4 linked regions of the Notamacropus eugenii genome follow. The protein of the gene in region 4 interacts with the protein of the main gene of each other region in a biochemical or structural test. Links are inferred from orthologs where the notes say so. Each region holds a gene or a part of one and is shown on either strand. Other genes may lie near its edges.

Region 1 (7,032 bases), on a different chromosome or scaffold from region 4:
GTAGGAAACAGAATTTCGGATATTGCTTCCAACATTTCCCCCCTGAACCCCTTCTTTTTATACTTCCACATAATTCTGCAATATAACTCCAGGGATTGGAGCCCATTTTATAAATATACCTAGAGAGCTGTACAAATATAAGAGGTAGTTATTCTTCTTCTATCTCCTCCCTCCCATTCCTCCTTCACCAAGTACTTATCTCTGTGTATAAGAGATGCTCAGTTTTGGGCACTGACCAACTGGCTTTGCCTAGTGGTTATCAATACAACTTGAGATGTCGTCATCTTGGTCAGAAGGAAGGGATCACAGAAAGGAGAAATGTGAAGATTTTTTTGAAAAGCATTATTGCTCATTACTGACCCTGAATTTCAGAACTTGCAGTTAGAAGAGTCAAACAGTGGTGATTTTGAAAATTTTAGAATATTATACTCTGATTGCAAAGCAACAAAAGTGGACTGTTCAGCTCCCTGCAGTGAGACTCATTAAGCAAGAAGGCATCCTAAGTGTTCACTGAATAGCTGAGTAGGAAAGGACATCTGAAGCACTCTAGCCCATACTGATGAGGCAGCTAGAGTTCCTTGGTCTGGAATCAGGAAGACTCATCCTCATGAATTCAAATCCAGCCTCAGACACTTACCAGCTATGTGACCCTGGGCAAGTCACTTAACACTGTTTGCCTCAGTTTCGTGCCTTTGTAAAATGAGCTGGCAAAGGAAATGGCATACTGCTTCAGTATCTTTGCCAAGAAAACCCCAGACAGGTCACAAAGAGTTAGACATGACTGAAACAACCAAACAAGAACAACAGAAGTCCAGCTGGTAGCTGAACGATAGTCTTTTTACAGTATCCCTGACAAGTGGTCATCCTGGTTGGGAGCTCCCCATAGGAGCAGTCCATTTGTAATAGCATTAATTATTCAATTTTCTTCCTAGATTTCAAACCTAAACCTACCTCTTTGTAAACTGTGAATGTGGCTTTTAGTTCTGCCTCCCAGGGCCAAGGAGAACAAATCTCATTCTTCTCCTTGATTGTCGTTGTTTAATTGTTTCCAAAGAGTCATAACTCCTTACCGCCTTTTTGGTTTTTTTGTTTTTTTTGGCAAACATACTGGAGTGGTTTGTCATTTCTTTTTTCTCCTACTTTACAGTTCTTTAAATATCTGAACACAGCAATCATGTTTCCTGTAGGTATTCTTTTCACCACGTTACCATTTCTTTAGGTATTAGAAGTTTAAGTAGTAAGTGCACAAATTAATTTTGATAGACAAAAAATATATTCCACCTGTCTATCCATCTCTGTCTGTTTCTTTAGTCAGTTCTATTGAGTCCCGCATGGCTCCACTAGCGCCTTTTCAGGCCCTGGAACTACCTTATATTTGTTTTGAATCTGTTTCTATATACTTAAATGTGTATGTTTGAGAGGCAGGAAGATAACTGAAGAGAGAAAAATGACCTTGGAGGCAAAGGACTTGCCTCTACCACTGTCCACTTTCACTTGTGTGAAAGCCAAGTCACTTTAATTCTCTGGATGAAGGTTTCAGTTTTCCCATCTGTTTGTAATGGAGCAAGTAATGGCCAACAAGAACCCAGTCCTGGGATCATAATGTACCACACAGATGTTTGGTAAACCTATTTCTTTTCTTTTTAAATTAAAAATTATTTATTTTAATATTTTATTTGAAAATTATTTTTTATATTTATAGATATTTGCATTTAAAAATTTTTTTTGTTTCCAAATTCTTTCCTCCCTCCCACACCATCCCATACCTACTGAGAAAGCAAGAAGCATGGTATCCGTCATACATGTGAAATCATGTAAAACATAGGTGAGCCCATTCCTTAAAGTTTGTGGTGATGTGGAATAGAAGAGCCCAAGAACACATTGCAGGTGTTCTGTGACTACTTCTGGTCTGTTTACTTCATGATAGAGTTGAAGGGTTAGAGTTGGAGGAGCACATTTACTCTAACCCTAACCCTAAAAGGCCTTTTGGTTGGTTGCTGAGCCAGAACTAATTACGAATGCATATAAAAGACCCATTGGAGAAATTTTCTGTCTTTCCTTTCTTCCGGCCACAAGATATAAGGACAATTCTGAGCTCTGGAGGACCAATGGGGACCAGGATTCCTTTCTCTCCAATAGGCTGTCCCAAGAGTTCATGACCTCCCAGGAAAGCCTGTGTCTGGTATGGGACCATCTCCTTTGTGTGTCTTCTTTCCTTTGCTACAAAGCCTTGTGAGACTTTAAAATGGTGGAGGAATGGACATTCTTGTTGAAAATCTGTGCCAAAGTTTGCCTACGGCTGAACCTGGGGCACTTGTGTAGCCCTGGGGAATGTGCCTGCATGACCCAGCCAGCAGAACCTCAACCCAGTAGCCCAGACATTGTGACCTACAGAAAGGGAGTGACTCCTCTGGTGGCCAGCCCATAAGTGAACTTGCTGAGGTGACTGCTTTGAAGCAAACTCTTTAAGTCTGAGCCCACTCAACCGCGGGACTGAGGTAATGTAAACTGGAGAGTGAACTCCCAATTTGGGGGATGCTTTAGGACTTATGTTCTTGCTTTATCTTCACAGTAAATATCACTTTGTAAAAGCCGATTGAAGCTAATTGGTTAAACTAATAGTCGGGCTAACCAATGATATCGATAATATTCAGGAGATATTAACTGCCACTGGTCATTTATATTTTGGGGGGACACACTAGAATAGCATTAAAATATCTTCCCATCCCCTCAGGGATGAACGTTAAGAGGAGAAGATATAGCCTTATTATGGGGACCTGACCTGCCAGTGCAAGTGTAAACTGGGATAAGGACCCTGAGAGTTTATGTAGGCTACAAGTAAAATGAAGAAATTGAATTAAATGCCCTTTAAATCTATGAGGAATGAATGAGATGATGCCTTACCCATAGGCTTTTCTTCTGGCTATGTTAAATACAGGATTGAGTTTTCCCCGAGTGCATTGGAGAAGAGAAGGATTTAAGGGAGAAATAAAACTGACCAACAGAACTGTCTGTGTATTTGTCTGTGTATTTGTCCTTCATCCCTAGGATTTCCGTCTTTTCATCTCTTCCTCTGAGTTGCCCTGTTTTTCTTCAAGACTCAGCTCAAATCCCCCTTTCTGCGGACTTTTTCTAGTCCATCCAGCTACCAACACCCTCTCCTCTGAGATACCTTCTATCTGTTTTGTATTTCTCTTGTATGTACCTAGTTATTTACACGTTTGCTCTCTCACTAGACTATAAGTTCCCTGAAGGCAGGAACTATTTGTATCTTGTATCCATAGGCTTAACTTTGTGTTTGACATATAGTAAGAAATCATTTAATTAAGACTTAAGAAATACTTGTGAACTAACTGCATGCATACATCTGCAAATATGAGTATATCAGCATGAATGTGTTGGTGTGAGGTGTGTTTGTGAAAGTGAATTGAATCTGTATCTAAGAGAATGTGTCTGTGTGCACCTATAAGTGTGTGTTCAAAATGGTGTTCATCTGTGAGTGTGTGAGATCATATGTGTGTGTATAAGGGTCAGTTGCAGGTTGTAGGCAGCCTCTTCTTTCTAGCCACCACTTTCACTACCGAGACACCACTAGGGAGAGCATCTGTATGCCTGAGAGTCTGGGAGTGGGTGCTTATGAGAATGTGTAAACGTTTGTCCAAGCAGGGTGAGTGTTTGAATTGAAGAACTCACTCCAGGGTACACAGCTATGTCTGGAAATCTGCGCCTCTGTTAGTGTTATGGTGGTGGCATGTGTGAAAGTGTACCCACACCACACCGTTAGCCTCACATTACATCCCTGTTTAGGATTGCCTTGTACCCTTAGCCTTCCATCCAGAGCCAGAACAAGACTCAGCTAACTCTACAAGCTCCCTTAGGCAGCTCTGAAGGTACCAGCAATCCCCTGTAGGCAACCCGGCCTGCGTGTGAATGTGGGTTAGTGTGTGCGTGTGTGCGCGCGCGCGCGCGTGCTTGTAGGCATACATACATAGGCATACATACCTGCTCGGGTGTGGAAAGGAGCAAGCAGGTGGAGGCGCAACAGGAGGTTGCCCTGGTTTGAGTATAGCACGCTGACCAGTGGGGATGAGCAGTGGTGGGGAGAGTAGGTTTCGGAGCCGCTCCCAGCGCCCACCTTCTGCCACCAGAGCCACAGTCCATCGGTCCATTCTAATTCCTCCCACCCCCTTCCCAAAGCCAGCGCTGCCGCTGCGGCGCACACGCCTCTAAGAGCTACGCTTCCTGAAAAGGAGCTGCCTTAGCTCCCTCCCCCATTCTCCCCCCACCTCTGTTTTTTTTTTTTTTTGTTCTCCCCCTGTACCCTCCTTCTCTCCCTACACATCTCCGCTATAAACCGAGAGGACCGAGACTGTCCAGAGCAGAACTCAGCTAGCCCAAGCCTGCAGCTGAGAGGGGGAGCGCCAGCCTCGACACCTAGCCATCTGCCTGCGGACCCAGGAATCCTGCAGCCTGCAGAGCTCTGGAGCACCCAGTGGAGCCGAGGGGGCCCTTAAAGCACCATTTCCTCGGGGACAGAGCCTGGCCCGCAAGTTCAGGCCAGTGCATCGGATCCTGGCTGACTGATCCACTCGTCATCATTCTCTCTTCCTAAGGTGACCAGTTTGCCTCTCAGTCCCTTTGCATACCTCATCCACGTTCCTCCGGGGTCCCTTTGGTCTCTTTACGTATCCTTCTGCCTCGGTTTCTCCTGTTACCATTGTGTCTCTTTCCTCCAGCCCTCTTGTCTCCCCGGATCCCCTTTCCTCCTTTCCTATTCACTTTCTTCCTCCTATTTTCTCTTCCCCCTTTCTATTTCCATTCCCTTTTCAGCGTTTTATTAGCCTGGCTCCCAGCCAAGCCCTCCTGTCTCTGTGTTTTCCTGGGGTAGGGGTTATTGGGGGTGGGGGAGAAAGCCCAGGGTTTGAAGCCTAATTTCCAGAGGTGTGACAGCCTGCCTCAGCCATCTCCATCCCTCAGTATCTGGAGAGCCCATCTAAGGCAAATAGGGAGTTCACCTGAACTTTTTTGGAAGTAGGAAAAATATTGGTTGTGTACCACTCTGGAAGCCCAAGCTAAGGGTGTTGGGAGAATGTACTCTTCCTTCTCCAGCTCCACTTCCCAAAACCTACCTCCTCTCCCCCTCCCCTCCCGTTTCCCCAATACCCCCTTCCTCCTGAGCCTCTCTAAACGTGTGGAGCAGGTAGTTTTAAAGGACGCCAAGCCAAACCAAGGGGCGGGGGCGAATTTGGGGGCCAGTATTCCAGTGATTGGGGAGGGAGTTTTCTAGGAGAGGGGACCCGCCTGAGGGCAGGACCAGAACTAAGGCGAAAGAGAATTTGTGTAGAGGTGCAAAGTTAAAGGAGGGGAGAAAGAGAGAGAGAGTAGGAGAAAGAGGGAGAGAGAGGAAAGGAGAGATGGGGGCGGGAGGGAGAGAGGCAGGCCCTGAGGGCTGCGGCCTCTAGCTTGAGATCTTGCTGCTAAAACCTCCTTTCCTGAATTTGCTTCATCTCCATCTCCCCGAGACCTGCTCCTGCTCCTGCTCCTCCCGAAGGAGGAGACAAATTCTGAGGCAGAGGAGGGAGACTGGGAGAGGTCATAAGCAATTTGCGTAGGGGTCTATAATTCTATGGGGACACATAGAAATGGTGCAGCAGATGGGTGGGAGGGTCTGAGGACCAGAGTTCGAATGCTAATGCTGCTACTTACCGGCTGGATGATTTTGGACAAGTTTTTTTTTTTTTTTTCCTGAGTTTCCTCAGTTTCTTCATCTGTAAAATGGAGAGTGGAAGAGGTTGGACTATATCTCAGAGGTCCCTTCTAGCTCTAAATCCTGTGAAAAGAGGATTATGTATGTTATGGATTAATGGCATAGCACAAAATTTCATTTTATATTACACCTATTTGAATGTGTTTATTGCATGCTTCTGTTGACTCCATGAAAGCACAGGCCATTCTCCTTCACCTTTCTGCCTATCCCTACCTACCCACACCCACACAGTAGGCACTTAAGGGTTTAGCAAGCTGAACTGAAGATGAGTTTCATTTCTAACTCATTGAATATTAACTAGAGAACCAGTATAGGTTTAAAGGTGAGATTTTGATAGCACAGAATAGAATAGCCATGATACAGAACACATTTCAGAGATCCTTTTCTTTCTATAGAAAATACCACCAAGGAGGGTTAGAGGGCAGGAAAGGAATTACCCCAGACCCCCAGATGAGCACTATGCTAGAAATCAGGTCTCCTGACTGTTACTCCAGTTCTTTTTCTACTACAATATACTATAATCCTTTTCCTTCTATCTCCTCTCTCTTTTTCATTTTCCCTCTCCCTCTTTTAGCTCTCTCTTCTCCCCTCCTCTCTTTCTTCTGCCCTCCTCTCTTTCTTTGCCTGACCCTCCTCTCCCTTTTCTCTCCCCTCTTTTCTCTCTTTTGAGTCCTTTTCTCCTTTTTTCACTCCTTTTCTTTTTTCCCTCTTCTCCCACCCTCCCACCCTCCTTCTCTCCAGCATCCTCTTTCTTCTTGCTTCCTTCCCATCTCTTTTCATCCTCACAGCATCCCTTTTTTATCTCTTCTTTTATGTACCCCCACTTTCCTTCCTCTTCTTTCCATGCTCTTTCTTCATTCCTCCTCCTCTCTCCCATCCTTCTCTATCCATTTCCTCCCATCCTGATCCATCCCCTGACTTTTCTAATTCTGACCTCTCCTTATTCCTTCCCTCTGCTTTTCTCACTTGGAACTTCCTCTACATCTTGCCAATGGTCTCTACCGGTTGATTTATCGATTTAACATCTTGTTTGGGGGTTTAAAGGCATACACTTTTTTTTTTTTTGCATTATTGTGGCCTTTCCAATTTATTGTTTATTTTTGTAAACTCTCTTAAGACAAGGGCAAAGATGGTGCCTGTGCACCACACAGGGTTTGATAGTGCTACAATTAGGGAACATTTACTGCTTGCCCATTCACTAAATAGTTTTCAACTGCGGGAACCTGCCTATGACAGAAGCATCGTTCTGGGCTAGTCGCCTTCCA
Region 2 (7,805 bases), on a different chromosome or scaffold from region 4:
GCCTTTGTCCCAAGGCCGGCCCCATATCTGACTGGGATGGCCATCCCTAATGCTCCTGAGAGAAGGTGAGAAGAGGGGTCCTGGCCTTGGCTGATAAGACCCCAACCCTCTCAAAAGAAACAGAAACAGAAGCAGAGTGACTGGCTGAAGATTACCTTGTGCATTAAAGAGAAAGTGAGAAAGAGAACCCAAGTTATAAAACTGTTGATAATAAAACTGGCAGGGCTCAAGCCCTTGATTCTATACAGGGGGAAAGCAAAGCCCAGAAAAATGACTTGGTAGTGGAATCACAGACTGAGATCAGCAAGAGGCCCTGGAAGTCACCTAGTCCAATGCCCTCATTTTATAGATGAGGAAGCAGGATTTGAATGAAGGTCCTTTGTTATATTCATCACCCCTCAATAGCGAGATAATCTAGTTATTGGCAGAGTTGGCATTAGGACCCAAGTCTCCTAACTCACTGTAGGGCTATCTCCTAGCTCCCCCCACCAATTCTACATGAATTCTCCACTCCGCCTTTTCCCTACCACCACTCAATGTATGGGGATGCAGGGAGAGAGTCCCTGCACCCAAAGGGATGGCTAACTCTGCCACCATTTTGCCCATGTTACTCCCCTTTCAAAGCAAGCCATCCCCAAGTTGGGACCTTAACGTGGAGTTTCTGGCAAGAGCTTGATCTCTGAGCAAGATTCCTTAAAGAAGTTAGAGTGGGGGATGGGGGTGGAAAGCTTGAGCCCTGTGCTGAGACCAGGAGCCCTTCCCTGCCAGCACAACCTCAAGGCTAGACACTGTGCCATCTCCCCCTCTTAGCCAGTCCTTGTCCTTCCCCTGTCCCTGAAAGTGAATGTAAAGGGCTTCCCTTTATATATGTCAGGACTCCTGGGTCCCTTAGGAGAAGTACAAAGATCAATCCGAGGCAGGAACCTTATCCATCTCCCTTGGCCTGGCGTGCCCCACCCTGGCACCTCTGCTCCCTGGGACCTGTTCCCCTCCCCCCAGCATGGTGAGAGAAAGGAGCAGAAACAAGGCCAGCCCCAGCTCCTCACCTCTCCTCAGGAGCCGGTGAGTCAGCGGGACGGTGATACTGGGCCTGTAAAACTTCATGGCAAGAATCCCAGGACAATTTACTTCAAATTGCTCCTTCAGGGCTGTTACCTAATCCCCCTACAAGGCCCACCCCCAAATCTCTTGCCACCCCCTTTAAAGGCCCAGCAGCAGCCAGCCACACTGGGGGCCAAGGGACCCCTCTGGATGACCTGGGGGGGGGCACTCAGCACTTCCCTCAGGCCTAGACCTGAACTCGAAGAACTAGGGATCATACCTGCTAAGGTGCCCACTGAAGTACATGCAGGGATAGGCAGGTGATCTGGGCCCCTGGGCCCTACGTGCCAGGGCAGCAGCCAGGAGGATATCTCTTCCTGCTCCGCTCTTTTGGGAATTAGGGCCCAGGGCCTGTTCACCCAGCTTCCCCAGAGCATCAAGCTTGGTGGTGATCCAGTTCTTAGCCTGAGCCCAGCTAGGCAACAGTACCTGGGGACTAAGGCTTTGGTGCCCAAGTCCTCTCCAAGTTGGGCTAACCTCTAGCAGAAGGACTGGGACAAAAGCTGCCTCTTAAGTTGGGAAGAGGGGAAGGAGAGATACCCCAGGAAAGCCTGCCTTTTTTCCAGAAACAGGAGGGAGGGGTAGAAGCCAATACTGTGCCCTCAGGTAAGGGTGGTGGTGGTAGTAGAAAGGCTATATTCCTAGTTCTGGACCTAAGATCTTATGTTTTACTAGCCCTGGGTGTTCTTCTCCTCAGCCCTCACTTACCCCAGCCCTAGAGAAGCACAGATCGTGTCCAAATTGAGCTCTCAAAAGTCACCTTAAAGGGGCCCAAGGACTTCATCTCCCCTACTCTGGAAGATAGAGTAAGTTGGAGGTAAAACTTAGAAACAAGGTGCCCTCCTCCCTGAGGTGACAGGTCTCTAAATCTGGCCCCTGCAGGGAGGATCATAGGAACCACTGGCCGGAAACAGGCACTGGCAATGTTCCTGGGACCCATAAGGACATCCCCTGGTTCAGGGGGGACTTAATTGGAGCAGCCTTGCCAAGAGGAGTAGCCTGATATGGCAGAGATCAGGCGCCTCCCCAGGATGGGGAGAACAAGCCCTTGGGCGGCCAGCTGCAGCCGGGAACGAGTAGAATAGAGACCTGTTTGGGAACAGGCTAAAGCCAGAAGAGTAAAACTACTGGATCGACGGTTCCATAGCTCATGCCAGCACTCTGGCATCCGGGCATTCCTACTCCTACCTGGTGGTACTGGGGGAGTTCAGGAGAGCTCCTGCTGGAGCGACGCCCCCCTCCCCCAAAGTGTGTGAGTATGAGGGGTGGGGCAGGTCTCCCAGGACTCGATCAGCTCTCTCACAGCCCTCCCCTCCCCAACACACATAGAAGGCTCAAACTCCAGCTCTGGGCACCCCTTCTCCTCTCTTCCCTCACCTGGCCCCAGGGAGCCGCCCAGACGGACTCTCCCCTGGACTCTCTGGCCGGGGGAGCCGCACGGGATGGAGGGGCGTGTCTTAAGGGCAGATTTCTCCCCTTAGCTCTGGGTTTCTCCGGGAGAGGGCAGCTCCGGGTGGCTCGTGAGGTGCGGAGGGAAGAGCGATGCTGCTTGAGTGGGGGGTCGGGGGGAGGGGTCAGGGGGAGATCCAGCTGTTCCTCCCCCTGCCCCAGCTGCAGCGCCGTCTTTGTCTGCCCCTGGCTGGGGGCTCCCATTGTAGCCTGCCCAGCCCAGGCCGGATCCCGGGAGGTCCCGCCCGCCGCAGCCCCGGGACACAAGAGTCCGGGACACCCAGCCCCGCTCACCTCGGGATCCAGTGGAAGCAGCTCGGTGAGCGGCCAGGGCTCCCCGAGCTGGGCGAGCGGCATCGTGCCGGCGGCCCTCCGGGCTGGCGCGGCTCCGGTTCCGGCTCCCGCGCCCCGCGCCCCGAGCCCAGTACCCCACGCACCGCTCCTGCACTTCTTACTCCCTCCGTCCGCGCTGCCCCAGGGGGCGGGGCGCCGCCGCCGCCGCCGGACCCGCCGCTCCATTGGCTACCTGCGGCCGCGGGGAGCTTGGGCCACGCCCTCGCCCCTCCCCCTCCGCCGCTTCCCCCCATCCCCACCCGGGCGCCGCATTCCCGGAGTGATCTTCCCCTCCCACTCCCATGCACGTTCCCGGTCCCTCTCGGCCCTGGCCCCTGCTCCTTTGGGGGTCCCCAGATCGCTCTCCTCCTTCACCACCACAGCCCCATTAACCCTTGCACTGCCCCGCCTCTGGGGCCATTCTCTCCCCTCCCCCCTTCAGCATATCTGGGGAGCTTCTGTTCCAGATGTGGACGCTTTTGTCCAAGGGCCCCCCATCAAAAAGCTCTCAGGCCAAGAGTGAGGTTGGGGAACCCAGATAAGAGTCTGAGACTGGGATCTTGGGTGTCATCCCTCCTTTCACCCATCCTGTCCCTGAAGTGACTCCTTTCCTCGGAGAGGGGTCCACAAGTTGTCCTGTTCAGAGAAGTCTGTGGCCTCTGTGGTAGAGGAGCAGTAGGGATTCAGGGTTCACCCCTGCCCCCACCCTCCCTACTAGTCCTGGTATATAATCTCTCCTGGGGGACAATCCTTCCCCTACTCCCCTGGTAAAAAATTGGCAAGACCTGCATCTTTCCTCAAGACTGGGTGAGGTGGAGGATGAGAGAGAGTGGGTACTTATTCCAAGTCTTAAAACATCCCACCATTAAAACATAGCCTGTTAGAATTGGATGGGATCTTAGAACAAAGAATGTCCAAGCTATAGGGGACATTATTAGAACATGGAACTTTCCAGCAGGAAAGAACTTTAGAACATAAAAGAGTACCAAAGACAGGGTCATTAATGAGCACAAAGAATACTTGACCTGGAAGGTACCTTAATTGAAAGTTAAAGTGGACAGAGTCCCTTTAAAGTCCCTGTCAGGTACTGGTTTTGGAGTCAAAGACCTGAAGTCCAATTACAACTCTACTTTGGACAAGTCATTTGACCTCTTTGGTTTTCATTTCCTCATTCGTAAAATGAAGAGGGTCGAGCCCCCTTTGACTCTAAACCTACTCCCTTCTGGAATGTGAGAGCAGGAATTAGAACCCTAGCACACACATAGAAGGTCAGAAAGGAGAGTGGTAATGCTAAGCCATCCTCTGACCCTGTATATTGCACATAGAATACCATTTACAAATGTCTAGCTGAATTAAAGGGATCTTAAAATCTGGACCCTGACAAGGGCAGGAAGAGACCTTTGAAATGAGCTAACCCAACATCTTACAGATGAAACTGAAGAGAGTTGAAACAATTTGATCAAGGTCATACAACAAGGCAAGAAAAGGGGTGGGACTAGAATCCAGATCCCTGGATTCCCTGTCCAGTATCCTCACTGCTCATTATATCCTATCACACTCAGTTCCAAAAGCCAGAGAGAAAAGTTAGCTCTTAGTCATCTTCCCAGGAGCCTCCTCCCCTCCCAGAAACAATGTGTTGTCTTCTCACAGTGATGGCCTCAGATGTATTTTTTTTTTAAGCTACAGGAAACTGTGATTTCTCTTTGTGACTTAGAAGATTCATTTGAGGAGGGGACAGTGAGGATTCTGGTCTTAGCCTGGCAACAAAATGACAGCACTTTCGATTCTGACATTCTGTGTTCTAACGATCTGTATTCTAAGTGTCCTCTGAGTCTGACATATTTCTCTTCTAAAATCTCTTCCAGCTCTGGTTCTAGGTTCTAAAGTCCCTTCTAGCTTTGGCCTTCTATATTCTAACATTCTATGTTCCAAGGGTCCCTTTAGTTCTGATATGTTATGTTCTAAGGTCTCTCCCTTCATGAAGATTTTATGTTCCATTGTCTAGGTTCAGAGTTCCCTGTAAACTTGGATATACCATATTCTGAAGTCCATTCCTCAGGGTTGACGTTCAATTCTAAGAGCCCCTCTAATTCTAGAATCATTAGGGCATAATGGATAGAGTTCTGGACTTTGGAAGCCCTGCATCCAAATCTTGTCTCAGATACTGGGCAACCGTGGGTAAGTCGTTTCCTCATCTGAGGATCAGGTCTGATAATGTCTGCCAAACACTATATACATATCAGCTTTTATTATCTTCTATGGTTGCTTCCAAATTATTATTCTGTATTCTAAGGTCCCTTCCAGCTTTGACATTCTGTGTTCCAAAGTTGTTTCTAGCTCTGACAGTCTATGTTCTAGGATCTCTTCCAGCTCTGAAAGTCTGTGTTCTAAAGTTCCTTCTAGCTTTGACAATCTGTGTTCTAAAATCCCTGTCAGGTATGACATTCTAGAATTCTCCTTTTCATCCTCCTCTTCCTTCTCCTTCATCTCCTCCCCCTCCTTCTTGTTGATGAGATGAGGGGAGAATAGGGACTTTTAGTTCTTTCAGCTAGCTCCCCTTGCAATATCTCTGTGCTGGTTGGTCTCCGACAAGCATCTGGGACCATGATTGCTTCTGCTCATGGCACACCAAGTTACTTTGGGAAGTCCCTGATTAGAGTCTACTTGGCTTGACTTTAAGGGAAGAGGCCATGTTGCTGAGGGTAAGGAAAAAGGGAAGGATGGAGCCTCTTTGTGGGATCATCCTGGCTTTCTCCTAAAATGATCTTGAAGCAGCCATTTATCCCCTAGTTAGGATAAGACATATGTAATCTTAGGGTCAAGGCAGTTTCCCTGATAAAAGGATATGGGTACTATTTCTAGGGGTTTTCCAAATGTAATTTCTCTGGCTTATATCCCCTTCAAAGAAATCCTGAAAATGTCAGTCTCTGGCTCATTTTGATTTCCCCCAAAGGCCCTTAGCTCCTCTGAAAGCACTTAGGCTAACAACATCAAATACTGAAAAGATTTTATTTTTACATCAAAAATACAGAAAGAGCTAATACCTGCCCTCATAAATAAGCAAACATCTCTCTCGGGGGAAAGAATTTGAGGATGCTAGGGAATCTTTCTTCCCACCTACCCCCAAATTTATATAGTTCAGATGATTGGAATAGATCTGGATTGTTCCCCAAGTGCACATTTTCTTGCCTATGCTACTCTTTCTACCCTGGTTCTCCGCCACACTGCTTTCATCCAGGGTTCATCCCTTCAGGGTCTGAGGGATGCAATACCCTACAGGACTCACTCTCCCCATGTGACTCCATCAGGGTCTCAGGGTCTCAGTCACATACTGGCTCCTCAAGGCCCATGGCTGTCTGTAGGGGACACCTAGATGTGCAGGATTTTCAGCAGGTCTCCATGCAACCCTGGTATCTCCAGCTCTCCTCCTCAGGGTCCATGTATTCCCTCTTATATCTGGAACCAGCTCCTGGGAATCCCCTATGAATGAATTGAAAGGGAGAGGGAAAGACTTACCTCCAAACCTGTATACATACATTCTCCTCAAGCCAGGAGAAGTACTACTGGATTTGGAATCAGAGAACACAAGTTCTAATTATGACTTTGCTACTTACTACCTGTAGGACTTTAAGCAACCTGCTCATCCCCTGTGAGTCTTAAGTTTGAGGAGGAATGGAAGCCAACAAGAGGAAAGGAAGATCAGGTCATTGATGGAAGAAGCAACTGGAGAGGCTGATGGATGAAACTGACAAATGCCAGTCTTTGGGATATAAAGTGCAAATGAGCACATGGAGAGGAAAGGGAGCATGAGCAGACTTCCACCCCACAAAAGGGGCAAAGAAGCTGCCATCTTTTCCTTCCTCCATCTGGCCCAAAGGTTAATAGAATCCTGTGGTGTAGCGTTTAGAGTGTTAGACTTGGAAGCAAAGCCGGTTCAAAATACCAACTCTACTATGCACCAAGCACTAACATTCTACTCCCTTCACCCCTCACACCTCCCTTCAATTATCTCATATATGTTTTATATAGAGAGGCAGCATGGTATAGTGGATAGAGAGCTGGCCTTAGAGTCCTGAGGATCTGAGTTCAAATTCTGTCTCTGATATATATTGCCTGTGTGATCCTGGGCAAGTCAGTTAATTAGCATTTAAGTATCTACTAAGTGCTGGGGATACAAAGAAAGGCAAAAGACAGTCTGCCACAATCTAATGAGGAAGACAGAAAAGAAAAAAAAAAAGTACAAACAAGCTATACACAGGGTAGATAAGATTGCTTTTGTTGTCATTTGCCCTTTGTTGTCAGAGGGCCATGACATCAGGAAGGTGATACCATGACCTGCAAGTGAATTGGATTTAAGTGGAGCAGGGCTGTGCAGAGTCACCAGCCTCACTTTTTCCTCCAGAGCCTTCTGTGTCTAATGGCTAGATATAGATCAGTCCCACTGGAGAAGGTCCCAGGATAGATAAGAAATAATTGATAGAAAAAAGGAACTTCCTGTAAAAAATGAGATTTTAGTTGAGATTTAAAGGAAGCCAGAGGAGCCAACAGGCAGAGTTGAGAAGGGAAAGCAGTCCAGATGCAGGAGCCAGCCCGCAAAAATGCTCAGAGCCAAGAGATGGGGTGTCTTGTTCATAGAATGGTAGACACCAGTGTCACTGGATTGAAAAATACGTGACAGGAAATAAGGTGTTAGAGAAGACTGGAAGGGAAGGGGTGGGAGAAGGTTATGAAAGGATTCTAGACACCTCTGAATAGAAGATTTATATTTGATCCTAGAGGTGATAGGAAATCATTGGCATTTATTGAGTAGGGGGTTGAGGAGGTGTGACATGGTCAGAACTGAGCTTTAAGAAAATCACTTTAGTGGTTGAATGCAGGATGGATTGGAGTGAGGAGAGACTGGAGGCAGGCAGACCCACCAG
Region 3 (6,849 bases), about 150 Mb from region 4:
TCTTAGGAGATGGAGTAATGGTAGGGGAAGCGTGTGTGTTTAAAGTTTATATTAGAATAGTTTCAAACAAAAGCTGAAAATAGAAATGAAATCCTCTCACTTCCTTACTTAGTTACTCCTCCCTCCCTCATTCATTCTTCATTGATCTATTGAGATTTTTTCTTTTTACCATGCTCCCTCTCCTATCCCTCACTCCCCCCCCACTCCCACACTTTCTTGATTATAAGATTTAGTGCTGAAAGGCCCTTTTTGGTCATCTGGTCCAACATCCTCATTTTTGAGATGAAGAAACTGAGGTCCGGGGAGAGAGAGTGATCTGTTCCCTTCTCTCTGTTCATACAACTTCCACAATAGTCTTTCATCACCCCTCCCTGTACTATTTCAGTAACCTCTCTTACATTTCTCACCTCTCCAATCCATCTATCACGTCTCTGGTGCCACAATGATTTTCCCCTTTGCATAAGTCTCCAAGTCACTTCTACACTCAAACTTCAGCCCATCTCTTCTGACTGTTTACACTTCCAGGGTCAGATATAAACTCTGGCACTTAAAGCTCTTTTGCAGCCTGGTCCCAATCTGGACTCATTACATATTACTATCCTCCAGGAATTTCACTCTCCAGCCAGATTGCCCCTCCTCTTGTTCCTTACTCGCAGTTTTCTACCTTCCATCTCTAGTGCCTTTGGAGGGGACTATCTCCTCCATGCCTGGGGTTTACTCCCTCTTACTTTCTGACTCCTTTTCAAACCCCAACTCAAGTGTCACACTGAAGTTTCCCTCCCCCCCCCCCCCAGCTTCTAGTGTCTCCTCCATCTATATATCTGGTATAAAATAATACCAAGTACACATATGTACATATATGTATATATGCATGTTGTCTCTCCCTCTCTCTGCCCCCTCAATACCATAAGCCCCAGGAGGCCAGGAACTGTATGACTACTGTCCTTGTATATCAAGTGCAGTGTCTAGCCCATAGTAGATGCTAAATAAATATCTGTAGGATTCTTTTTTTAATTGATTGCCAGAGACCACAAAGATAGGACAACCAGACTGGAGCCCAGGTTTTTCTTTCTGATCCAAATCCAACACTTTTCTCACTGTCTTGGTTAAAAGAAAGCTGTATTACAAGGGCTTTCGGAGTGGGGTGGGGAGTGAGGCTTATTTCAGTCAAACTCATTATTATTTTTTAAACATTCTGTTATAGACAACTTGAATTAAACTGCTAGTTTTCAAAGGAGATGATTTGATTCACACACCTCTGTGTATACAGAGAAACAAAAGACAAGACAAAGGTTCAACAACTATTTGAAAAGTAAAAAAAAAAATCAAATGGGTGATTTAGCATTGTGGGATCACTCAATCATTTTTTAAAAATTCAGCACTTTCAAGATTCACACATACACATAAATAAAAAGCACTCCTCCCTCCCAAAAAACAATCTAGAAATCAGTTAAAGTAATTTATCTGTGTGTGCATTGGAGAATAAGCCTCACAAAAAATAGATGCCAGAATTCACTCGTTTACAGGGTGTGAGACTCCATCCTGGACCCTAAAAATATGCTTTCCTCCCTGATTGAAGATTGGTACCTGGTTTGGGATGAGGGAGTGATCTGTCTGCCACTGAACTACTTTAGACAAAAATTGGTGGATTTATTGGTGACTTTCCTAAACTCTAGGAGCTGGTATATCCTCGCTAGACGTTAGACTCAAGACCGAGCGGTTTCTGGCTCCTAGTTCCAGCGGAAAAAAAAAAAAGCTCCCACTCTCGGACCCGGCTCAAGCACGGCCAGTCAGGAGGCTAGCAGGAGAAGAGGACCGAACATCAGACACCTCAATTAGGCGGGGGAACATTGTTCTATGAATCCAAGCGCTCGGAGGAGCGGGAGAGATTTATCTCCATAGACATGCAGATTTCTGCAAAGGGAAAAGGAGCCATTGGGCGGCCTAAAAGGGGGGAAGGAGGAGGTAGAATCTAAGGAAGGTGTTTAAGGAAAAAAACAGGCGAGAACCTTACCTCCAAAGCGTTGAACTATCGAAGCCCAACCCAGACAGAATGGTCAGCGGGGGCGAGGGCAGGTAGAGGAGGGGGAAATGGGGACTCAACCCCTGATTTGGTAATCACCCCGGCACTCTGAAGCTTGAGGAAGGGAATCTTTGGCACTGCGGATTCCGGGAAGCGTTCTCCCAGCCCCAACCTGAGTCCTCCCCACCCATTTCCCCGGAAAACCGTCCGTTCTGAAGAGTTTGACTTCCCCCAGGGACATTAAAGCCGTCTTTGGTAGTCCTGGGTCGTTCCCAAACCAGCCCGGGCCCCTGGCCCCGGGCTGGAGAGGGTCAATCCTGCGCCCCCGCTCCTCTGCGCACACAGCTCCCGGTCTCCCCCGCTACCACTGGGGTGTTGGGGGGGATGGGAGGGATTGGTGCAAGTGGAAGGGTCTCTTTGCCCGCCCATATTCTTACCTGGATGACCAAGAGGTGAGGGCGGCGTCCCATCCTGGGGGTTCTCTGGGGGCCCTGGATACCTGGCTTACTGGCACATTCCCCAGAAGGGCACGGCCAAGCTCGGGCTAGGGCGCTTGCTTGCTAGAGAGCTGCGGGGGAAAGCCCGAGGTAGCGTGGCGGGTAGGGGAGGGAGGCAGCCCCAGCCTCTGAGAGTGGGAGCCCAGAGGGATTGGGGGGAGAGCAGGGTAAGGAGAGGCAGGGGATCGCGGCGCTGGCAGGGGATCGCAGGGGAGGAGAGAGAGCGGAGCGCCAGGTGCTCCTTTAGAAGGAGGCACTGCCCGCCCGGCTCTCGGGCTCCGTCCCCGGCGGGCAGCCCGCAGCTCGGTCACATCTGCTGCCAACAACCGGCTCCTTCTCCCATCCGCCCCCAGCTCCGCTCCCGGTTCCCTCCGGCAGCGCCACCTCTCTTCTTCCTAAGCCGGGTCCCCACGGCCACTTCCCGCCCAGTTCTTAAGGGAGGGCACTCGTCTAGCCTGCGCCTGGCAGTCAGGAACCCCGCATCGCCCCCGCCACCTCTCTCCTCCTCCTCCTTTTCCTCCTCCTCCTCCCTGTCCTTTCTTGCCTTTTTCTCTCTCCTCCCCACCTCCTCCTCTCCTCTCCCTTTTCCTCCTCTCTCCTTCCCCCTTCCCTCCCTCCTCCTCCCTCTGCCCCTTTCCTCCTCCTTCCCTCTTTCTCCACTCGCGCTCCCTGCCTGTCCCTTCCCTTCTAGCGCTTCCCCCTCACCCCTCCACCCTGCCTGGCTAATCGCTGACCCCTTTTCCCTGCCCCCCTCTCAGTTTGCAGCAGTGAGTTGAGCGCGGCTCCTGCGCCGCCAGCTTCAGGGACAGCAGTCCGAGAAGAGCCTAGAGATTGGGACTGGGGCGAGAGGGTGGGGAGGGGAGGGGAGAGAAGACTAAGAACCCCTCTTCCACTCGCTTCTTGGAAAGGCTGCTGAAGAAAGAGACTTACGGGACGTGGGGAGGGGGGAGATCAGGAGAGACATACTTCTGGGACACAGAGTGAGTCTGATTGGAAGGACGAAGGCGGGAGGGGTGAGGTGGTCTGTGGAAGGTGCCCCTCCACCACCGCTTCCTGGGCACCCTGCTGGAGAGTGAGGGAAGGCTAGCAGTAGTTTTGGAAGCTCAGGATTGCATCTGGGTGTTTCCCGACCCATCCCCCCACAACCCCTCCTCCGCTTCAGCCCTTTCATCTCTCCTTTCTTTGCCATTCCCTAAGGGGGTCTACAACTCTAGGCCTGAGTGGTAGGGTATGGGCACTCCCTGCTCTTTCTAGCATCTACTCTTCACTCCTCCATAGCCGTTCTATGTTTCAGAGACAGTTCCCTCATTTACAGGATAACACCCCACACACACCCTCCACCCAGACCCCAGCAGGAGGTTGTGCCGTTTTCCCTTGGCCAGTGGGGAGAGAAAGATAACGGCAACATTGGAATCCAGGCTCCTTAGCCCTTGTTACCCATCCTTGCTGCCCAGCACCAGGATGACCGTCTGTCACCCCAGCCCCCAGATCTCTAGATACAGCTTTGGTATACAAGACAGAACTTTGAGCTCACTTCCTGGGGCTAGAGATTTGGTTCCTGGATCCATCTTCAATTTTATTCAGCAAAATTTCGTTGTATCAACCATAGTGCAAGTGCTGAGGAAAAGTACAAAGATAAATAAAATGGGGTCCCTACTCTTGAGAAGCTTACCATCTTATAGGGGAGGTGGCATGAGCATGGACAGCCATTTTACAAGGCAAAATAGGATGCTCCATGAAAGAGATACAGTGGTAAGGAGAGATCACTTCCGGCTGGAGCAAGAAGGGAGGGAATCAGAGAAGGCTTCTTGGAGGAGATGTCATTTTGGCTGAGCCTTGAAGGATAAGTTTGAATGGGAAAGGAGATGGGGGGACAGTGGAGAAGCAGTGGAGAGGAGGAAAAGAAAGAGTCATCCAGAACGAGCATGTTCAAAAGGTAAGGGATATTACAATCCTAATCAAACTTATACCTTGGCTATCCTGAGTTTTCCTCCACCACTTCATTCAAGACTCAATTCAGGGGAACATTAAATGCACTGTAGGATTTAGTCCTTGTGTCAATTTGGCTTAACTGTTTCTTGTTACAAGGGAGGGTTCACATGGGTTGAGGATGGTCTATATCTGAAAAAAATAGGCAAAAGGCATCAATAAATCTTTTTTAAATCAATTTTTAATAAAAAGATAATCTCAAATCACCTTCAAAATCAACCAGTCAACCAAAGGCATTTATTATGGGCAGGCCCTGTGTTGATGCTGGGGGTATAAATTAAAAGAATGAAATAGTCAAGGAGCTTACATGTTAGCTGAGGAGACAAGAGAGCAGCAAGGTGCCATGGTGCTCAAAAGAGCCAAGCCTGGAGCCAGGAAGATTCATCTTCCTGAGTTCAAATCTGGCCTCAGACACTTACTAGCTGTGTGACTCTGGCCAAATCACTTCATTCTGTTTGCCTCAGTTTCCTCATCTGTAAAAAGAACTGGAGAAAAAAATGGCAAGCTGCTACATTATTTTTGCCAAGAAAACCCCAAGTGGGATCATGAAGAGTTGGACACAACTGAAAAGGACTGAGCAACAAAAGGAGACAAGAAACTTATTTACATAAAAGTATACATGTACATATAGACAAAATGAATACCAAAGAGTTAAATACAAAGATGTTTGGGAGGGAGCACATAGTAGTGGTGGTGGTGGATTAGGAAGACTTCATCTTGAAGAAAGAGAAGGACTGTATGAGGTAGAGGTGAGGAGGGAAAGCATCCCAGCAATGGGAGATAGTTGATGAAAAGGCAAAAGAAGGGACATAAAGTTCTGTGGTTGAAAAACGCTGAAAAAGCCATTTTGGTTAGATTGCAGAAAACGTGGAAAGCAGTTTAGTTCAACGAGTCTGGAAAGTTAGACTTGGGCCAGACTGTGAAGGACTTTAAAAGCTAAACAGTTTAAATATGATTCTAGCAGTCACAAGGAACCTTGGGAATTTGTTCAGTAGAGGAATGACATGGTCAGATCTTTGGGAAGAACTGATGAAGGAAAGGGAAGGAAAAGGAAGATAAGGTAATGGAAGAAAAGGGACAGGAATAAGCATTTATACAGAGCCTACTATGTATCAGACTTCGTGCTAAATTTTTACAAATTTTTACGAGATTACAATTTTAATAATATTTACAAGTATTTTAAATAACATTTCTAAATATTGCTCATTTGATCTTCATAAAAACCTTGGAATGTAGGTGGTATTGTTTGAATTCAATCAAAGGGCCAAGTTTGAGGACCAAGAGGGCCACATGTGGTCTCAAGGCTGCAGGTTCCCTATCCCTGGGCTATTTTGTGCTTTGGGTGGCAAGGAAGCTAAGCTAATGATGACACTGAGAATAGCTTCCTAACCTCCTTGAAGGAAAACCAGACCAGACTACAAAAAAGAAGCCCTGATTCTACGAATTCTCACTCCTTCATGTTGAGGTCCCCAAGTTTTTCTAGGAGATATTACTTCACTAAAACAATGTTAAAACAACAACATAATTAGCACTGGAGGAAAAGCTTAACACAAATAATAAAAACACGAATCAATACAATCTTCTCAAAGCTACAATTCATAAAGTAGAGGAAACATTAGGGACAATTCAAAGTAGGTCTCCTGTTGTAAAAACAACTCTGCTGGCCAAAAGCAACACAAATTTGCATCAGATTTGCAGCAGATGATGTCTCCTATACCATTGCCAAGCCCTATCACAGGTCCTGGTCATTTGTATCATGATAGCTAAGAGATCATAGACCTCTTGCATGTAACCTGTCATGGGGTATGAGCTGATGCTGAGATTCACAAGATATTGCTGTCCTCTCGGTGGGGGCTAGCCATCTAGCCAGAATCTATCCTTCCCTGGGAAACTCAGTGGGGAATGGTGATACCTTTTGGTAACTTTAGAAGTTTTGCTGCAAGGTTACCCTTGGTTCCTTCATCCTGTGACTCAAGATTAAGAATTATCCATTAAAATATCCCTTTTCTACCATGTGAATTCCTATTCACCATGATTCTATTTACTATGATATTTATTGTTTTATGGCCTATAAAGGATTTAATTAGTGCTTGTGTCATGTGATACCTCTGAGAAACACCTATATTTTTAGGAAACCCATTCTGAATTCTTTCAGCTCTAAATTCTCCAGTGATTTCTTCAAATATCCCTGAGGAACGATAATGGAAGGGTACTGAATGCCTCCCCACTGCTCCTGACTGGTTTCAGTCAACAGAGATGGAGAGAAAAGCATTGATGAGATCGCTAATTCTATAGTGCTTACCTGAGACCTTTGGATACCCAGTTTATTACATGGACAAA
Region 4 (7,907 bases):
AATGAGCTGTCTGTCCAATTGTGTATCAGTTTTTGGACAATAGGCATTCTGCATCCATTTGGTTTATCTAATGCAGATAGTTAGGGTGAACTCTTAAGTGTTTATGGATATCTGAGACCCAGATCAGCCACTTGATTCTCCCAGGGTCTTTAGGCCAAGGGCTCCAAAAGAGGATGCTGCTGCCGCAGTGGCTGCTGCCACCCTGGGGCCAGGGCCAGATGCCACTCTCCTCTTATCCAGGTGAAAGAGTTTTCTTACTGACCTTTGAAGCTGTCTTTGGCATTTGTGGGTTCAGAAATTTGGGAACCACAGCTGCTGTCCATGATTCCATACCCTGAAGCCTGTTCCAGTCCTGTCCATGCTGCACTCTGAGGCTGGGGTGCACACTGTTCCACTTTGAGCCTGGTGCAATATGCCTTTCCTGTTGGCCTTCCAGGCTGTCTTGGGCTGGAAATCTCTTTCACTCTGTCATTTTGTGGCTTCTGCTGCTCTAGAATTTGTTTAGAGCCATTTTTTACAGGTATTTTATGGGCTACAGGGAAAGAGCTAAAGCAGGTCGGTCCTTCTACTCCACCATCTTGGTTCCATCCCCCTATGTTTGGTTTTGAAGGGACAAAGACAAAAACAAAACCATCTCTACCCTCAAAGAGTTTACATTCTCCTGCTGGGAAAATATGCACACAGATAAGTCAATATAAAATATATACAAAGTAAAAGTAGAAGAATTTTGTTGAGGGGAACTAACTGGGGAGATCAGGAAAAAAGGAGCATAGTATGAAAAAGAAACATCCAAGCCTCTGTTTTTTCTGCCATTATTAAGGATGAATATCTGGCCACTCCTTAACCTCCTTTCCTACATCTTTATCCAGATCATGCCCATAGGACTCTGACCTGAGCCTTCTTCTCTTCTCTCTCTATACTCCTTCACTTGATGATCTCTATGTTCATGATTCTCAAATCTACTTATCCAGGCCAAATGTCTCTTGTTAACTTCCAATCTCCCATCTCTAACTGCCTCTCAGACACCTTGAACTGGACATCCCATAAAAGTCTCAAACTCAACATGTCTAAAACTGAACTTATTATCTTCCTCCCTATACCCTCCCCTTTCCTAACTTCCTTATTACTATTGATGGCACTACTACCCTCCTAGCCCCCAGGTTTGCCACCTAGGCTTCATCCTCCACTCCTCACTCTCTCACCCCTATATCCAATCTATTGTCAAGGTTTGTCAATTTTTACCTTCATAACATCTCTTGTGCATACCGCTTTCTCTCCTATGACACTACTACCTCTATAGTACAGGTCCTTTCTACCTCATACCTCAGGCAGAAACTTGCTGGTTGGTTTCCCTGTCACAAGTCTCTCCTCACTCCAGTCCATCCTCCACTTTGCTCTCAGATCTTCCTAAGGTTTGACCAGTCTGAAGATGTCAACCCCTCCTGCCTCCATTTAATACAATCTAGTGGCTCCCCATCACATTCAAGATCAAATGTTAAATCCTCTGATATTCAAAGCCATTTATAACTTGCTCTCCTCCCACCTTTCCAATCCTTTTACACTTTATTACATACTCTTCTGTTCAGTGATACTGACCTCCTTGCTGTTCCTCCAAGATACTCCATCTTTCCATTTGCAAATTCTTCCTACACACCTTTTCTTCCTGTCTTCCTTGGCTTTCTTCAAATCCCAGCTAAAATCTCACCTTCTATACGAAGTCTTTCCTGACTCCCCCTTAATTCTAGTACCTTCTTTCTAATAACTGTAGCTTCCATAATCACTTAACCTAGGCCAACTCTAATTGTAGGGGGTTGTCTGGAGTCTGATTTCCTCAGAGTACTGGTCAGCCTGTTGGTGGATGGGGGTAGCAGTCTAGAGGAAGGCTGCCATGTTTAGTGTCTTGTCATTCAGGGCCACCTTCTCCTCCAACCCTGTAGAGCCAAGTGCCAGGCAGTATTCTTTCACAGCAAAATGGCCTCTGTAGTCAGACTCTTGCCATGTAATTCCCTCCCTCTTTTCTCCTGTTTTAATTTTGTTTTGTTTGCCACTGATGAATGTAGTCTTAGCTATAGCCCTTGCTAACACTTAGATTCTCCTTTATCATTGTGTAACAACTTTCCAATTTCAAAATAAGCTTTGACTTGAACTCAACTAAACAAAAATGTTTAGGGGAGAAGTATGAAGGAGAAAATGGCCATACAGTATAATATATTCATCATGTACCTTTACCTCTTTCCTCTTCCCTACTCAATCTCCCTGCAACTTTCTTTCCATGATTTGCTGCTGGTTTTAAAGGTACTGAACAAGTTGGCAAGATAACATAAATCAATCCAAGTCATCACTTGTACTTTGATATTTTAAAAAATCTGTAATTTTGAGTGTGTAGGTTCTCTATCAAGGCAGATCAAAACTCCTACCCTTTTGTGATCTTTATTAGAAGCTTTGGCAGAATTTATTTTTTATTCTGCTGCTGACAGTGACAAACTCCTCAGAACTTAATAAAGCTTGTTTTCAGAGAACAGATACATGCTGTTTCTGGACCCATAAGCAAAACTATCTTTGCAGAGCCTTCTAGAGCTTGCACCTTGCAAGCATGGCCATTGAGAACACAAGACAATCTGTACCTCATGAGGCTTAAGAATAAGACTTAAGTAGCACTCACTTCTCTACAGTTTCATTTTTATGGGTGCTGGTCAAATTATTATAATCCCTGTCCCAAAGCCCATTCGTACAAGATTCTCTCCTTATTGGTGGAGATGAAGGCCCTACCCTCCATGATGGACAAAGTGGAATTGGTGGGAGGCAGAGAGCTCCACATTTCAGTAATCCCTCTTCAGAACTCTTTAGAATCCATCCTCTCTGGGACTGGCCAAGCTTCAAGTCTTTGAGCATTAATTCCTCTCAGGTACTCCTAGCTTCCAGGAATAAATTCTGGAAACACATGAGTAGAGCTTGCATTTCCCTATCTCCAGCTAGCTATACTAGAGGTTTGGGGGAATTATCTCTTCAGTGAGATAAAACACATTCTTGGTTGGGTTATTTCACTCCCAAAGACAAAGCCCCTTCATTCTCAATTGTGTGCTGTATATTATTTGTATACCTTCTGCTTTGCTGTGCTTTGAATAAATGAGTTCCTTTGCTATTTTCTGTGTTTTCACTGGGAAACTGGTATTTGGTGAAGAAGGGGTCAGGCCCTGAATATAGATCTTAGAGTCCTTCTTCCCCCCAAAACGACAAAGTGATCAGATACTTCTAACCTGGTACTCCCTGTCTTTGAAGATAGTAGATTAGCGTCTTCTGGCCCGAACATTTTGCTTCCCTTCCTGGAAGGAATTAAAGTAGGAGAAGAGGCTAGAGATGTTTGTTCTGAATACTTTGAGCCATACAACAGTCCTCTCCATAGGTTGGCCTTACATATCTGCGACATTACAATATCCTTTTCTTCAATTTCTCTTCTATGCTTTTACTCCCCCTCCCTCTACTACCTACATACTAATATTGACTAATATTTGTAAAAATTAAGGTAACATCCATATATGACATTCATTTCTCCATAAGTTAGGGACTGGACCTGTGATTTCATTGGTAAGAACAGTTTCTGGGTGAGGAAACTACTACTGGTGCAGGTCAGCATGTTCTGTCTAATTTATAATCTTAGTTGCCTCAGAATACTGAGGAAATTGAGTCACATGCAGAGTCATGCAGCCAGCATGAGTCACTAGAGGGACCGAACTCAGCTCTTCTTGGCTTGGAGGCCAACTCTCTACCCACTGTATACCACATTACCACTCCTGCGATTTTATAATCAAACTGCCTGGGCCTCAAAAAAACAAGTCAGGGTTGGGGAAATGATTCGTTCACAAGTAGTGTCTAAATTACTTTGTTTCTGAAACTAAAGGAAAGGATAAACTCTCCCAAGTTTTGTTTTATTGTAGTGTACAGAGGGATAACTTTAACACGTTTTCCTTTAAGGATGGGCTCATCTGTCCCCCTCCTGAAAACCAAACCAAAGCTGCGCTGCACATTCTAAAAAGTGCTGCCAGAGTGGGAGGCAGATGCGGGCCAGCGGCAAACGCCCTCTTCGGAATCGGAGGAATGAAGTCCAAATACCAGCTCCGCGACTTCCCGTCGAAGCATATCTGGCACCACGGGGGCTGTCAGTTTCCACATCCGAGAAGAAGCGGGGAAGGGGGTGGGCAGGGTCTCTCAAGTCCCCTTCACTTCCGTGGTTCTTGGGCTCGCCCATAGCCGGCCCCGAAGGGTCTCGGCTCCGCTTGGGGATCACCGGCAGCGCAGCCTTCGCGGGCTGTCTGTCCTGGGCCGATGCTCCCTCTCCTGCAGCCCTCGAGCCCGCGCGGCGCATTCCCGGGGCTTCCAGGTACTAAGAGCCCACTCTGCGCCGCCCGAAGGGAAGCATGGGGATGGGCTGGAAAAGATGCAAAGGATGCTCGGCAGATGTCCAACAGGCTAACAAACTGAAGCTCCCTGGGGAGAACACCTGGCCGGGAGAAGAGGCGTGACGACGTCAGGATAGGACAAAAAAAAAAAAAAAAAAACCAAAACACGTGTCTACCGCGCACGCGCAGAAGGTACTTCATCGCTCTAGCCTCGGCGCCCCCTTCTGCCCTACCACTTTGGGATCTGACAGAGGAAGAGATGGACGGAAGCTACTCTCCTACGCGACGTGGACACTGTCGCTCTTCCTCCATGCCTTCCCACGTAGACAGTGACGCGCTCAACACCTCCAACTCTTGCGTTGAGTTCTCATCCCGCAACTTGCCAGTACCCAAGATGGCCACGGAGAGGCTGGGCCCTGTCAGAAGCCTATCACAGGCTAGGGGCTGACCTTTGCCCCTCCCCACTCCTCCCTCTCCGGCGCCAGTGGCGGATTGCTTCTGCGCGTGCGCAAAGGGGACGGGGGAGGGGGGTGGGGGGGTGCGACTCCGACCCGCGGTCTAGCCAGTTCCTCCTCCGTAGCTGCTTCAACCTCTGCTTCATCCCTTTGCCACCCTTAGAGCTGGGTTCCCATCGTTACCTGCGCGAGGGGCCAGGGACGCAGGACCGGCAGCGGCGCGCTCGCGGAGCGCTCGGTCCCGGCTGTTCCCCTCCCGCGGGCAGGTGGCCGGGTCGGCGGGAGAGGCGAGGGGCAGGCCCTCAACAGCGCCATGTCGGCGGGCGGCCCGTGCTCGGCGGGGCCCGGAGGGGTCTCCGGGGGTGCCTCCTGCGCCTCAGGGGTGCCCCCCGGGGGGGTGTCGATGTTCCGATGGTTGGAGGTGCTGGAGAAGGAGTTTGACAAGGCCTTCGTGGACGTGGACCTCCTCCTGGGCGAGATCGACCCGGACCAGGCGGACATCACTTACGAGGGACGCCAGAAGATGACCAGCCTGAGCTCCTGCTTCGCGCAGCTCTGCCACAAGGCGCAGACCGTGTCCCAGATTAATCACAAGCTGGAGGTGAGCCCGGAGGAGGGGTGGCGGGGGCTCGCTCCCGGCGGGGAGGCCGAGGCAGACGCCTGGGGGCGGCCGCCAAAGCCACTACGGGTACGACTCCCTTTCCCCCGTAAGAAGAGGCGATTCCCCCAGCTCCTTTCCTGAACGCTGGGACTTGGCGTGAGGGCGATGCCTTAGTCCTGCTCCCCCTGCTCCTTACCCCCCATCCCAGCACTGGAGGTTCTTCCATCAGATTAGCAGCTTTGCTTCTTGATAGACTCTTGATTCTTTTTCAGGTGGGTAGCTTTTTTCTTCAGTACCTGAGCTGTTCGGTGGAATTTGATCAGATCTGTGGAGACAAATGAGTTTGGAGAGGGGATCGCTTTCCTTAATTATAGATAGCAGAGTGGTTCTGTTTATAGACAGGTTTTAAGTTACCTCAGTTGCTTGGAACGGCCCTTCAGCAGTGGGTTTTATTTGTGAAGCTTTTCCGAGCCCCTTACTGCTTTCCTTCCGAGATTATTTCTAAGTCATCCTATAAATAGTTTGTCCCCAGAAATCTTAATGCAATTAAAAGCTTTAGTAGCTTTTTCAAGTCTTAGTGCAGTTTTAAGTTACCAAACCTTTAGTATCTTAAAAATGTACTAAAATTTTGGGGATACTCTATATATCTCTTTTGTATATAGTTATTGGAATGTTGTCTCCTCTATCAGATTTTGTAAGCTCCTTGAGAACAGGGACTTTTAAAAAGCCATTCCTTGTATTTCCAACGTTTAACAGAGTGCCTTGCACATAGGTGCTTCTTAAATGGCATATCAGTTTATTTACTTGACATGCCCTAATTCTTAAAAGCTGGGTTCCGGGTAAGTAAAGAATGCTCAGACTTTGATCTTCTTGTGACTTTCTAGGGGCAGAAATATTTACACAACACCACAGGTACAAAATAATTCAAATTACAACATTTTCACAGTACTACAGAGTTAATAAATAAAAGGGTTTCATGAAAGAAAGTTTCCACCTTAGGTTTTATAAGGAAAGAATTAGACCTGTCCTTTTAAAGTAGGAAAGAGGGAGGGGGGAATATTGAAATTAGGACAGAGGGATTAGGTGGGAAAAAACTATGGTAATAGCTTTCAGTTCCACAGTAATAATGTTACAGGTAAAAGTAATTAGGATGTATTTTTTATTAAGAAATTATTACTATTGATCCAGACTTTTGGGTTCTTACTTGTCACATAATTTGGGTGACTTCTCATGAAAGGGTAAAGGTTCTGTGTTTTATTAATTGGTAAATCCTGAAAGAAAAATTGTGTACTTAATCTTTGGTTAGCCAACTATTGCATTCTAAAATTTTCATCTTGAAACTTTTTCCTGAATTTTCATTGACAGCTTATCCCTTCCCAAAAAATCTGGTAGGAAACTGATGGTGAAAATACCTTTTGATTTCTTGGGTTTTAATGTTTTCTTGGGTTCTTTTGTGCAATTCAACAAATACTTGTAAATTTTTCTCTTTTTTGGCATTTGCATTTGGATGTGTTTCTGACACTTTTGTGGGTGGTGTTTATTATGATCCTGTATTATGACAGAAAGGAAATCTAACTTGAACTGAGACTTAATTAGATCTCTGAATAAACATATTTTTGTATTAGAACAGATTTTATTTTCTCTTAAAAACTTGGATAACCAAACACTTAAACAGTGATAACTTAAATGTCAAATTAAGATACTAATTTTGTAGAAGGGGAATCATTGTGTGAGTGGGAGGTGGTTTTCAGTTACCTTCATCTTTATCCATTCCAAATGAATGTTAAAAGTAGTCATAAATTATTCAAAGTTGCTCTCTTTTCTCAAATTACATATTCTAACTTCAAATTCTTTCGTAGGAGGCTGTATTTTTTAATGTAAAAATAAAATAACATTTCTTTCTTGAATTTTTTTTCACGTTTGTTCTACTACTACAAATGTTGGCAGTCCTTGTTTTAGATGAACTCCATAGTAAATGGAAGAAAAATAGGCTGTCATTTTTAGGTGGGATATATTCGGGAAAAGTTGCCCAACACTTCTGAAATATTAGCAAATCTTACAAGTTTAGCAAATAATGCAGTTTTCATTAATAGGAACTCTTAGTTGTGCGTACAGAGAAGAAAAAAGCATCACTATCAGCAAGTACTTTTCAGAGTTTACCACAAGGTAGCCATTGTATTTCCAGTCTTCTGAATACTTAGAAAATATCATCATCCTATTTTGATACATACTTTCTGTTCCTCATATGACATGGTTTTTGAGTACATCACCATTCTGGATTTTTTTTTTCCTCTGGATACTCTCCAGCTTGTTAATATCTTTTTAAAAATGACGTACCCAGGAATGAACACAATATTCCAGGTATTATCTGACCACTGCTGATTATGGTGGGATTTATGTTTATGTTTGATTACTTCCCTTGTTCAGGACACTCTCTGTCTATTAATGCATCTT

What was found.
Region 1: the proteins of GOPC (region 4) and SSTR5 form a complex in vitro, tested with the Homo sapiens proteins (2 studies listed by BioGRID and IntAct, with this or other methods). The link is inferred for Notamacropus eugenii from reciprocal best matches to the Homo sapiens genes GOPC and SSTR5.
Region 2: the proteins of GOPC (region 4) and RPS6KA1 interact in a test that uses a peptide from one of them, tested with the Homo sapiens proteins (2 studies listed by BioGRID and IntAct, with this or other methods). The link is inferred for Notamacropus eugenii from reciprocal best matches to the Homo sapiens genes GOPC and RPS6KA1.
Region 3: the proteins of GOPC (region 4) and CRHR1 form a complex in vitro, tested with the Homo sapiens proteins (2 studies listed by BioGRID and IntAct, with this or other methods). The link is inferred for Notamacropus eugenii from reciprocal best matches to the Homo sapiens genes GOPC and CRHR1.

The regions. Positions count from the first base shown.
Region 1 is NC_092872.1:51,440,310-51,447,341, reverse strand, and holds the start of SSTR5 (somatostatin receptor type 5), read left to right. Parts: upstream 1-4,023; 5' UTR 4,024-4,613; intron 4,614-7,032.
Region 2 is NC_092876.1:67,581,779-67,589,583, reverse strand, and holds the start of RPS6KA1 (ribosomal protein S6 kinase alpha-1), read right to left. Parts: upstream 3,008-7,805; 5' UTR 2,908-3,007; coding exon 2,845-2,907; intron 1-2,844. UniProt on the Homo sapiens protein: Serine/threonine-protein kinase that acts downstream of ERK (MAPK1/ERK2 and MAPK3/ERK1) signaling and mediates mitogenic and stress-induced activation of the transcription factors CREB1, ETV1/ER81 and NR4A1/NUR77, regulates translation through RPS6 and EIF4B phosphorylation, and mediates cellular proliferation, survival, and differentiation by modulating mTOR signaling and repressing pro-apoptotic function of BAD and DAPK1.
Region 3 is NC_092873.1:347,228,474-347,235,322, forward strand, and holds the start of CRHR1 (corticotropin-releasing factor receptor 1), read right to left. Parts: upstream 3,022-6,849; 5' UTR 2,494-3,021; coding exon 2,461-2,493; intron 1-2,460.
Region 4 is NC_092873.1:199,301,004-199,308,910, reverse strand, and holds the start of GOPC (Golgi-associated PDZ and coiled-coil motif-containing protein), read left to right. Parts: upstream 1-4,907; 5' UTR 4,908-5,165; coding exon 5,166-5,453; intron 5,454-7,907.